Linked DNA regions of Oryzias latipes. The protein of the gene in region 3 purifies or fractionates together with the protein of the main gene of each other region. This does not show direct contact. Links are inferred from orthologs where the notes say so. Each region holds a gene or a part of one and is shown on either strand. Other genes may lie near its edges.

Region 1 (4,106 bases), on a different chromosome or scaffold from region 3:
ACTTATGAGGAACACAAATCAAGTTAATTTGCAAATTTATAAAAATTACTCCCAATCACCTGATTTTGGTAGGCTTGAAAATAATTGACTTTTTAAAATCCAAACTCTTCCTGTTTATTCCTAACAAGCTTCTTCTTTGAGCGTGAAACTTTTCTGCATGTGACTGTGATTATTGAACCAGAAATGCGGTCATCCAACATGCGCCCTGTGAGCGTTATAGACATCTACACCTGCAGTCTTAGCCGCTGCTGTTTGTCCTGGTGTGGACGTTTTTGAACGCACCTGTGTCCGTGTCGTGCTCCTGTGCTCGTGAATTGTGGCATTGATAGAGGATCCTCCGAAGCTCCAGGTTATGGAACCACACCTGCAGGAATGTGTTGACGTAACATGTTGCGCCAAGGTTGGTCAGTCCAACAAATGTGTTCTGGAGGGGGAAGTGTCAGACACGGGCAGAGGAAGTGAAGTGAAATCCAGACAGGATAATCAAATCCTACTTATTTGCAGAGGATTACAGACAGACCTTATCTCGCCGTTCAGAATTTGGATCATCGATGTTGTGGAACGTGTTCTCATCGATCTCCCCGAGCCAGGCTTGTTCACCAATACCCACGAGGCAGTTGGGATTTCCTTTGCAATTTCTTCTGTAAATGTAAACGCAGCTGATTAATTTCCTGTTTTCACAAAACTAACCTCTATCAGGCTTTTCATCCCTCGTCTGTCCCGGAGCCAACCGGACTAGCATCCTAAGAACAATTCAAACACAACCAGAATCAAAAGACCAATTCTGTCAAAGGTTGGTGAATCAAATAAACGTAGTAACTACCAGTTAAAGTGTAGCCTTAATGGTTCAGTCAGTTTCCAAGCCACTGTTCTGTCTGATAACAAAGACAAAAATCATGTAAAAAGAAACAAAAGGTATTATAATCTCTGTAAAACTAACACTTTATAAGAGCAAATGGGAATGAAGCAAACCTAACATCTGATAACTGACTCCATGCATGGAGACCAGTAGCACCAATGGAAACTACTTTCCTGCGGGGACAATGGCAGCTTTTTGAATGTTGGTTTGCTGAATCATCATAGCAAAGACATTTAAAAGAGCAGGAAGTTAACACAGACTGGGGCAAAATGCTCAGACTTGCTGTTGTTCAATTCACAGAGATCTGCATGACTCTACAGGAATGTGTGTTTAATCTGACGTGGCACTTTTTAGCTGTGCAAACAGCAGTGTTTGTGTCCAACAATTAGCCACATTGATGTCAAAATACACCGTTTGCCAAATTACAAAAACAAAAACACCATGGCTTAATTCAACCTGGAAAAACAAAAAATCAACATAGTATTTTTAATTAAAATTTATTTTAAATGCTGTTGGTAGGACTTTAAAATAATGCAGAATTACTCAGAAAGAAAGGAATCAAGAAATAACCCCGGTAATAAATGCTAATAAAACATTTTTTGTACATACATCATTAGTGATTACTTCTTTTATTTACTGTATTTATTGTTTCATGTACAATTCACTGAGTAAAATGTCTTTTTTTTTTAAAGAAATACTAAAAAAAATATATTATTTGGACTTTTTTTTAAAGAGTTTGTTCTGTGTTTATAAATATTTATTAATTTCAATTGAAACATTTTACAGGGTTGTGTTCTTAAAGAAAAGAGAAAACAAAAGGAACAAACACAAACTGAATAAAACACCATTTGGTATTAAAAATATTTAATCCTTTCATCACTCAGTAGTATGAAGGCAATGCTTTCCAGACCTCAAAAGTCTAAGTCAAAGCCAGTCAAGGCCAGCCCTTTCCATATTTCATTTACATTGAATTTTATTTTATTTTACTTAATATTTGATTTACAAGGATAAAAACAATATCATTTTGTTTCTAATTGATACTAACTTTACATTTTTAGTAACTTAATTTTGTTTTGTTTTTAGGCTGAATACATAAGATGCATTTTCTGTGTTTCCTAAGTAGGTAGAACAATAATTAATGAACAGCCCGGTAGTTCCTAGTAGTTACCTTCCCGTTTGTTGATCATTTGAAAACAATAATAAGTATAGTTTCCAAACTAAATGGTAATTAATACATAAAAAGCTAGCTTGACAATCTAAACAGTATGTTGTGCATTTCGTTGGAAACGGTTTTCCTTTTTTGGCAGACAGTAAAGTTCACACAACTGTTGACAAAATGACAAATGCACAGACAGACACATGATGAGCAGAGTATGAGTGCTGTGTACCTGCAGGCTCCTCTTTTGCAGGCCGGGAGGTTAATGCGATATGCTAACTCGATGTGCTCCTGTGTGATTTCTTCTGGTTTCACGTGTTCCACCCAGCGCCAAGCTGCCTTTTCCAATTGTACACGAGGCGCCATTATCCTGCAATTAAACGATCCCCAGTGTTTGTGCGCTTTTACGCAAATTGGTTAATAATCGGGCGGTTTTCCAAGGATGCTAACCCAATAAGCTAGCCGGAGCTAAGCTAGTTGCCTGGTTCTCAGAGGACAAAAGTACGGCTTCCTGGCCGAACCGGCAACCTTATATTGTGCTACGCTTTACAACACAAAGTCCAGTGAACAAACGCCTAATCCAAGCCTCAAGCGAAGCTCGTACCATTGTGATTCTCGAACAAGAACATCTTTATCAAACTCACAACTTAAGTCCCCCCGCTAAGGCTAAACTGCAGCTAGCCCGACCGGCTGAGCCTCTTCCTTTTACCGCGAATTGACGACAAAATGTGAATTTATTGTGTTAAAAACAAATATGCTCGAACCTTTCATGAGTGCCGCCACTTTATCCACACACTTGTGTAATTTGGCATTTTTGTACAGCTTGTTTTAGATTTAGCGCGCTTGCGTCAATTTATAAATACATAATTTCTGCGCTCAAAATCAACACGACGTCAGACAATGACGCAGCAACGTACGCCGTTTTTTCCCCTTCCAATAACTTTATTTGTTTGTTTGTTTTTACACACAAACATGTCTGTTAACAAATACAAAAGGGGGGGGAAAGAATAATTTATAAAAGAAACAAATACGAACTAAATATTTAAAACTTTCCATACCTCTTAAAGCCAAAGAAGTCCACTTTAAAACGTTTTTAGGTTTCTGATTTCCAATGAATTGCTCAGAAAACGGTTTGGAATTCCTGAAAATTGTTGTTCTTTTTGTAATGAGGACATTGAAACAACTGAGCGTTTATTCTTTGAACGTTTTTACTCTAATGCCTCCTGGAACAATGCACATTATTGGCTTTTCCTCAAGAGTCCATGTTTAGCAGATTTTTCTATTCAGGACATAATTTTGGGGTTTTATATTAGAAAACATAAACACAGAAATGGTTTTAAAAGTTATAATTTTCCAGGGTAAATACACAAATGCTGATTCCTTAAAATCAAACCATATTTTTTCACATTTCATAAAAACTCTGCTCTTATTTTTCATCTATAAACTTCATGGAATATAAACCTGCCGTGAAACTCCAAAGTATCATAAATAAATTACTGCTTTTTGATAACCCATAAGATTATGATCATTATAATGCCCATGTAACCCCTTTTTTATTTTAATCTTATTTAATGTAAGTTTGTATTTTTTGTGTTATCGTATATTCTTTTACTTAATTTTATAATTGTTGTTCATGTTTTTATGTGCCCATTCTAATTTTAATTTGATGAACACCTTGTACAACTGCCACACATATTGTAACCCCCAAGTTTTTCTTTTCAATTAAAAAAGAAAAAAATGTTACTTTTTTTTAAAGTCAACAGTCCATTATGTCTTAAATGTTTGTCTCAGGTTTAAAAAAGTGTTTTTTTCGTTGAAAAGCAATTGTAAACACAAATTGAATATGGTGGTACTCCGGCATATATTTGTATATATTGTATATATCATATATTGTCACTGCACAATTAAAACAGTACATTTCTAAACTCTCAACTGTAAATGCCTTGTGCAATGTTTGGTTAGTTTGTGACAGCTATTAAAATATGTAGAATTATATGTTTATGTTACATATTATTCTTTTGACTGATTAGACCTATCTTTACGTGGTAATGGACACAAAAGCAAATTTTCACAGCAAGATTTTCTTTCTTT
Region 2 (4,218 bases), on a different chromosome or scaffold from region 3:
TCTCCATGTTTACCTGCAGCAGCTGCTGCTAAGCGTCTCAGGATTTCCCCCGGGATCTCGTTTCCTGACAGAACTCAACACACATGATGGATCGTGACCCATTTAAAACTCAGACGAAAGAACATCCAGTTAACTGAACATCGTGTCTGTCAGCCTCCATCTTATCTGTTAAACTGAAACCGTTGTTTGCACATTTCCCAGCCTCTTTTTTTAAATTTACCACCAGCTTCAATTATCTGCAGACGGTTCAGCATTTAAGCCAAAGCCACCACATCCATCATCTGCGTCTGAGTGCTGCCTGATTCTGTTTGCTGTCTGTAGGAGCTGTGCAACATCTCAACCAGTCTAACCTTCAATGTTAGGAGCTCCGGCATTCCTTCCCCCATTCAAGACCCAACACTCCAGGTTTTATTCGTTTTCACAAATAAACCCCATGTGTGTTTTTCCCCCATCATTTGAAGAGTATAAATGTTTAAAACGTCTTCCAAACAGTGGGAAAAGTAACCTTTTAGGGCTGCAGCAAACCTGTGCCGAACATGCAGTCCTCTCAGAGCAAACGGCATCCGGCAGCGACCGCTCACAGCTGCTCGTGGTCCCCTGGGAGACGGCAGAGGGAGAGACGCAGCACCCAGTTACCATCTGTACCTGCTCATCCAGCCCTCAGCAGCAAGAATGCACAGCGGCGTGAACCCAGCGTGCCCCAGCAGGAAAAACTCCCCCTGACTCTGACAGAGGAAACAACGGAAGACATCTGTAATTTAATATCAGCTCTTTTTTTTTTTTAAGCTGATGTCTCTGTGCTGACATCATGACAGCCATATTGTGGTTTGAGGCTCAAACATCTGCAGCAGTTTAGTCATGGGATCAGTAGCTCTATGTGTTTAGTTTGTCTTTTTAAAAGATGACTAAAAAGATGAACTTTTCTTTTTCTTTAGTGCACTACACGTTTTTCTTTAGTGCACTACAGGAGCAGACATTTTTCCAGTCTGCTCTGACTGTCTGCAGTCATTTCAGTCTCAATGGCGTTACATTTACCCACCTGCTTATTTTAAAGCTAAAGCACTCTCGCATTCGAACCCCTTTGATTGATGACGGTGGATAATTCTGGATGAAAAATTCACGGCGACCTAAAATCACTGATTCTGAACGCATTTGTCGCCTCCACGCGGTGGACAGCCGCTGGTGCACATCTGTGTAGAGAATCTGCCGGGATACGCCTGTCGGTATAACCATCGCACCCTCTGCCACCGCCGCGCGGTGGTTGGCTCCCTTGGAATAGAGGGAGCTTCGCGATTGGCTGGATGCGCGGGAGGCTTGCCATTCTCTCACCCCATTGGTCAGCGGGTCGTGGATGCGTCATTTCATTGGCTGAAGCTTCTTTATACGGAGGGACGTCAGATTTGGCTGCGGAGGTGAAACCGGTACCCGGGCTCTACAGCACGCCGCGAAGCCGCGCCAGCGCCTCGTCGAAGTCCATAGATTAAAAAATATATTTATACATTTTCCAAAAACTATTGACTCATTGGTAAGTTTTAATGTCAAACCTACTGTTTGAATCCAGGCAGAAAGTGAAACTAGAATGAAAATAGGATTAACGTGGTGGCTCATCCGGGCTCCATCTACATCCTGATGTTAGCTTCCTTTGACATTGTCGCGCGGTCTATAGACGGACGCGCTGAAATCCGATTTAAACGTTTATACTTGCTTTTTAATCGCGATCAGAAGTCCGGAATGGGTTTTTTCCGACATATGTATGAAATTGTTGCTGTTACAAATCACCCACGACGGCTTGGTTTTACTCTGAGCTGCAGGAATTAGCCGCAGCCCTCGTTAGCACACCCCCCCCCCCCTCTGGTTTTTCCAGCTTTCTTTCCTTATTTTTCGTGGGGTAAATTCACCTTTTCCCTAAACAGAGTTAGCTTCGTTTCTACGCGTCTTTGGATGTTAAAAGCGTCATTTTGTGGCCTCGGCGTCGGGATCGGAGCGTGGACGAGCACCGCCCGGGACACGTGCTGGGGCTGCTGAGCGCCCCCCCCCCCCCCCCCCCCCCCCGTCAGAATTCGTCTTTTGGGGTTGGTGGGCCCGTCCAGCTGTCCCGGATTAGATCGGAATGGACCAGGACAGCGCACGACACGTGAATCCCGGTTAAATTTGTCAAGGCCTCGGGGGCGCGTGTCAGCGCGGTCCCGGAAAGAGAGCGCGCGGGTCGGCCGTTTCCGTCGCCGTTCCCGCGGCGTGGTCTTTGTCTGCGGGCCGCGCGTGCAGATCTCCACGCACTTCTGCGGAAGCACGTTAAATGATTGGTCCCGTCTATGTTAGGCCCCTCGCGGATCAGACCCGCGTGACTGCGGGAGCTCCCGGGCCGTTCCGTGTTAAAAATGGCAGATGGCTGTTGGCCGTGAGAACAGATGTCAAAGTGGCTCGTGGCCTTCTGGGCTCAGAGCTTCACCTTTCCCTTCCAGGTCCTCCAAGCCAACAGTTTCCGGTTCTGTCAGCAGAACCTCTGGTGTATTTGAACCCAGATCCGCTTTATGGTGCTGAACTGAAGTGGGAAGAGAAGAATGTGCGTCTGTGGCGGCACGTCTGCTCCCTGAACCGTCCCTCCTGGTTTGTCCGTGAAACCCACTTGACAGAATAGAAGATCAACATCTTCTGATTGGCTGATCCCTCCTGATCCAGGATCATGGCCATGTGCAAAACATCAGGAATATCCTGGAAACCCGGAAGAACCCGTCACTGCCGGGGGGGTCAAACCCTGTAGAATCGTGAAAGCGCTTCCAGGTTCAAGTGGGGATGTATTAAACCCAAAGAACTGTTCAATTAGAGAATCCGGTTTCATCAGGGCAAGATGATCTAATCCACTTGCAGATGAACTCTGGTGTGGTTCACTTCAGTGTAAATGCAAACTGATCGTCCTCTGATTATGGAGAGGCAGGAAGGTTCACTTCTGGCTCAAACCCATTGAAGGAATTCCAGTCGCCTTCTTGTTGTCTTTTTGTGAAACGGACGGCGCCATGTTGGAGGCAGACGTAGAGTTGATCTGAATTGATCGGTGTTTCTATGGCAACCACTCTAAGTGTCAGACTCCAGGCCTCGTTGGCCTGTGTCCCACATGTCTTCCCATCAACTTGAAATTGAAGCTCCTTATTGGCTAAACACACCTGATTTCTGAAAAACCTGCTGGATAACGGCCCTTAAGGCCTGCAGTCTGACTCCAATCAGGAGTGAGCTTGTTGGAAGGCCACGCCCCCACCCATGAAAGCAGGCTTCTTTGGTTTGTGGTTTTGGGATCCCATTTGAAAGATCCTGGTCCATCCTCCATAACATGTAGAAATTCTGGTGACACTTTTCTTTTAGTGAGAAAATAACGACACATTTCTGCTATCTGGTACACATGTATTACATTTATAGGCTTTTTCTACAGAGGAGGATTTCTCTCTTTGGTGTTGAAATTTGCTGATTCAGACTGCGGCTGCTGGTTGCATGATGCTGGAGGATGGTCTCTAACCTCATTCCACATCAGACGGGGGGGGGGGGGGGGGGGGGCATTGTTACTGCACTCGTCCCCTTCCTGGGAAATCATGGCTAATGCTCGCGTAAACAAGAATAAATGCCTCATCTGCAATACTTAAACATTTTTCTTATTTTCTATTCAACGGTTGCCATGGCGTCCAAATACACAATCTGAAACATCTGGGGGGGGGTTTCCCCCTCGTGTTGTGGACCTGGAGCCGTTTCCTGGATCCGAAGTGACTTCAGAACCGTCGCTCACTCAGTCACAGGTTTCGGTTGGTGTGACATTGATCACTCTGGATGAACGTCAGCGATGAAATTCTTTTGTTCTGCTACCTTTGCTAATAAAGGTTTGTTTGAAATTCTCTACTACATTTGAGTGGGAAGCTCGTGTTGCACCTTTTTTCAGAAGTTTCCCCACATTTGGTTGATTAGGGTTTTGTAAGTTGTCGCCAGAGCAACAGAAACATTAGCTAAAGATGAGTCATTTTGCAGCAGTTGTTTAACTTTCCATTTCACGCTCGCTTTGTCCACCCAACGCTTGTTGCCCCCATGCTGCCGTTGGTTCTTGTGGGCGTGGCAGACATCAGCTGTGAACCATGAGATTCTTTTTAGAGGTTCATTGGTCGCTGGGGAGGGCTGTGGGGCTCCCCCCCGCCTGGATAACCACCGCAGCTCAGACGCTCCCTTCTGTTCTTTCTCTGC
Region 3 (4,093 bases):
GTGTTGAATGTGTTTCTCTGTCACTCTGGGTGTGTCTTTTTTTTTTTTTTTTTAAACAACCTCGAATTAAGGGGAGATTGAAAAGTGTTTGAGTTGGTGGGGGATTTGAAATGTTTTTGAGCTCTCGAAGTGTGGGGCCGTTTTTGAAAAAGCAACAATTGTTTTGTTAACTAATCATACTTGGAGTAAAGGTTTGAATCGTAGTCAAAATACTTGATTGCTATTTTAAAGACATCCAGTTGTAAACACAGTATCACTCCGAAACACCTGATGGACCCAAAGAGCTAAAGCAGCATTATAAAGACTCCAAAACCTATGAAAAATGATGTAGTTCTGTTGGTTTGGTTGAAATTCATTATAATTTATTTTTCTTTTAAATTCCTTCATAGTTTACCTGAATGGTGTCACCTGTGAGATTATTAGGTAAAATCATGCACGTAGTCTGATTCTAGATTCTTGACGTTTTTCTGCGCCGCAAATGAAAATGTTAAGAAATAATGATCCTCTTTATTTTAATTTTCTTCTCTGTTTTGTTGGGTGATTCTGGACGGGTGTTGGTGTTTTTCTGAGAGTATGGATGGTGTTTTTTGATTTAGTTTTTTTCCAATCTGCAGTATTGATAACTTTAATGTCTGAAGTAAGTTTAGTAAATAAATTAAATTTCTCAGGATAAAAATTCATTTGAAACAACTGTTGAGGCAAGCAATTAATTTCCAATATGCAGATGTAGCTGTATGAATGATTAAAGTGTTTTATTCACATGTCTCTTTTTTCCCCCCCAGCTATTTAAAATAAAGATTTATTTCAAAGAAACATTCATTGAAGTGCTTGGAATGACTGCACATAACGGAAATCCAATTTTTTGTTGTGCTTTGTTATTTTAAGGAAGTCATTTAAAGTGTTCCAGCTGAAGACAACAGCATTTAGTTTGCTCATGCTATTTAACTTTTGATAATACCTTAAAATTCAATTATAAAGAGTAACTTGAACATGTGTGTTCAAGAGGTTGGAGGGAAATAGGAATTTTGAACTACCAAACATGTCAGTCTTTATCTTTTATTTATTACTTTTTTATTATTTATGTAGATGTAAGAATGCAAAACTCAAACTTATTCATATTCTAAAATAAACTATTTTAAGTCTGTGTCTGTATGGTGTGAATCGTATCAATGATGTTCCCTATGGTTTCTGAATGCATCACATGCCGGCGCACATTGATGTCGTCATCCAAACGCCGCAGTTCAAACCTAAAACTCGGGTTTGGGACTGTTTTTCAAACAGAAAATAACAACAAAGACAACAGTTACCAGAGTCATGTCAGTAAATTATGCTGCCGGATTGTCACCTTACGCAGATAAGGGGGTCTGCGGCCTTCCTGAGGTAAATTTTGACTACATTAAAGAGCTTTTCATGCTAAATGAGCTAGCAGCTCATCATGAGCGATGTTTTTGTCCTGCTGTTGTGATCCTTCTGCTCTTTTATCTAACAAAACACTTGCTAAGGACCAGCCCCTTGTTTGAAAATCTCTCTTTACATTTTTTTTATTCGTTCTAGTGAGTTTAAATTCCAGCTCTGGTTTAACAAGATAATAAATTATATTGTTTCAAATATAGTTATTCTTGTTGGGATGTTGTATCATATATATCCACAAAATTTGATGGGTGCAAAGTTGTTGTTTTCCTTCATAATAGATTTAAAGCAGCCTTTTACTAATCTGTACTAACGTTCAGCTATGGCTTTGTCCGCCGAACGTGTCACATAAATAGATAAAAGCGTGAAGCTATTCATGAATTCATATCTCGGGACCAACAATCTTAGCAACACATGCATGGATGATTGCTTGTGCTCATTCCTAAAAGGACTTGTTTGTGTCTTCTGGCAGAAGTTTGACAGTCCTGAAGAGCTGAAGGAGAAGGTGCAGACTCTTGCTGAGTTGGTTAAAGAATCTCAGTACCTGGTCGTCCACACTGGAGCTGGCATCAGCACCTCAGCCGGCATCCCTGACTTCAGGTGAGACACGATTCTAATGATAATTCTGTTTTTGTACGCCACATTTGGCTGCTAATGCCAACATCAGACAAAGGCAAACATAGGATATGTATTTTATATGACAGGAAGCGCATCTGTTAATCAGAATAATATTGATTCTTTTGCACACAAACAAATCTATCTAAATATCTATATTTTTCTTTGGGAGCATGTCCAACTATTTTACTTGTTTGATCCTAAAATTCCCTAAAAAGTTACATAAACTACATTAAAAAAAAAACTCTAAACATTCATTAAATGAGCCTATTAAAATCATAGTTAAAACATTTTTTAAACTAATTTCTCCACCGAATCGTACATGATGTGTACATAAAAAAAGGTTGATGTTATCCACACACGATTATGTGACAAGCACAAAAAGTTATGGAAATTTATGTTGGCCACACGTAATGCTTGCAGCCAAGATACATAATGGTGCCTTTTAACCCTTGTGCTATCCTAGGCACTTTGACATTGGGAGTTGGGTCATCTAGAGTCTAGACCCACTAGACAGTGCGCTGAACCTTTTTTTCTTCAATGATTTGTGGTCTTCTCCGGTGTCCATGGATTACATGAAATCTTTCCACTTTTATTCACCTTTGTCACGGTAGGGATAACATGTCAATGGTCATCTTGACCCCGTAGGATAGCACAAGGGTTAAGTGCGTCCAAGGTTGCATTTTGTTGTTGGCCCCAGGTGTTTAAAATGAAACTTAAAGTTACAGTCCCATTATCTGTCATGCACCTAGGTGTGTAAAATATGTTCTCTGCCTTTGATCCATCTCCTGGAGGAGCGGTGAGGTGCAAAAACAGCCGCGCTCAGGAGCTATTTGGTGGTTTAACCCAACCCACAACTGTAATCCTAACCTTAACCCCTGTTCTAGGTCTGTGTGGCCAAGAAAAAAAGCCCAGGGCTGGCCGCACTTATTTCGAAAATGACGTGCAAATAGACCCTTTCCAAAATATACACATATAACTGAAGACAGGCTGGAATAGATCAATATTCATGATTAATCTTAACAGACAAACTAGAATGTTAGTAAATAAAAAAACATAAATGAAATTAACATGACACCATTTTTTATTTCCATTTTAGATGACAACAACAACAGCTATGACCATAGTTCCACTGTAACTATTTGATTCGTATCCTAATTTGTGGTTGCTGATTTGATTCATAGTTGATATAGGTTCATTTTAAATAGTCCGATTCACTGACCTAAAATCGATCTTAAGCCAAAAATTCAACCAGTGAGACTCAGAGATAAATACCTGGTACTGAACAGTGCAGGTGAAGTTTTCCAGATTCCTTGTATTTCTTGCAAGATAATCAAGTGTAAATTAAATATGTGTGCAAACAAAGTTCAGCCCACTGTTGTTTATCTACATCAAAATAATACAAACAGAACATTACTAGAACATTCTACTGTATAGTCACATGACATGGCAAAACTCAAAGTGTTTCCATGCATTGAACTGGAATGATGCACTGATCGGTTTTTGCTGCCATCACATGTGTGTTGTCCATGGTGATTACACTTGATCACTTTTTACGGTATAGTAAAATAAACTCACATTTGCCTCAATCCAAATGGTATTTTCCAATATCAAACTAATTGATTTATTTCATTTAATTTATTTCATTCTTAAATCTAATATTAGGATAAGTAGCAATATTAAAAACATGAACAAAAAAGATACTTTTGTTATTGAAATAGGATGTTTGTCTTTGGGAACCCCTGTCCTAAAAGGTCCAACACACACGACTCAACTCATCAGCTCTAAAAACAAATGGTAATGACTCTTATTTCATTTATTCAGGCATGATAAACAAGTGGAATAAAAAGGAAAACTCAATGCATTTTTAGGGCTCAACGTGGGAAGAAACTTTAATCAACTAACTTTGCTCTTTTGTTAACTATTGTAAGACACTTAAAACAATGCAAATATTAAAATAGTCAGAGTTTTTTTTTTCTATTACTGGTACTCTTGTTATTTTTGTTGTTGTAGAAGTTGTAATGAGGAACTAAATTGTTCTGGGAGGCAAGCCAATGCATTTGTGGGC

What was found.
Region 1: the proteins of sirt6 (region 3) and usp48 purify together in Homo sapiens (affinity purification with mass spectrometry; 3 studies listed by BioGRID, with this or other methods). This does not show direct contact. The link is inferred for Oryzias latipes from reciprocal best matches to the Homo sapiens genes SIRT6 and USP48.
Region 2: the proteins of sirt6 (region 3) and g3bp1 purify together in Homo sapiens (affinity purification with mass spectrometry; 3 studies listed by BioGRID and IntAct, with this or other methods). This does not show direct contact. The link is inferred for Oryzias latipes from reciprocal best matches to the Homo sapiens genes SIRT6 and G3BP1.

What each region holds. Positions count from the first base shown.
Region 1 is NC_019863.2:19,936,247-19,940,352, forward strand, and holds the start of usp48 (ubiquitin carboxyl-terminal hydrolase 48), read right to left. Parts: upstream 2,923-4,106; 5' UTR 2,780-2,922; intron 2,386-2,779; 5' UTR 2,382-2,385; coding exon 2,248-2,381; intron 642-2,247; coding exon 521-641; intron 425-520; coding exon 283-424; intron 1-282.
Region 2 is NC_019868.2:28,987,240-28,991,457, forward strand, and holds the start of g3bp1 (ras GTPase-activating protein-binding protein 1), read left to right. Parts: upstream 1-1,398; 5' UTR 1,399-1,525; intron 1,526-4,218. UniProt on the Homo sapiens protein: Protein involved in various processes, such as stress granule formation and innate immunity. Plays an essential role in stress granule formation.
Region 3 is NC_019875.2:22,338,220-22,342,312, forward strand, and holds the start of sirt6 (NAD-dependent protein deacetylase sirtuin-6), read left to right. Parts: upstream 1-1,201; 5' UTR 1,202-1,314; coding exon 1,315-1,380; intron 1,381-1,882; coding exon 1,883-2,010; intron 2,011-4,093. UniProt on the Homo sapiens protein: NAD-dependent protein deacetylase, deacylase and mono-ADP-ribosyltransferase that plays an essential role in DNA damage repair, telomere maintenance, metabolic homeostasis, inflammation, tumorigenesis and aging.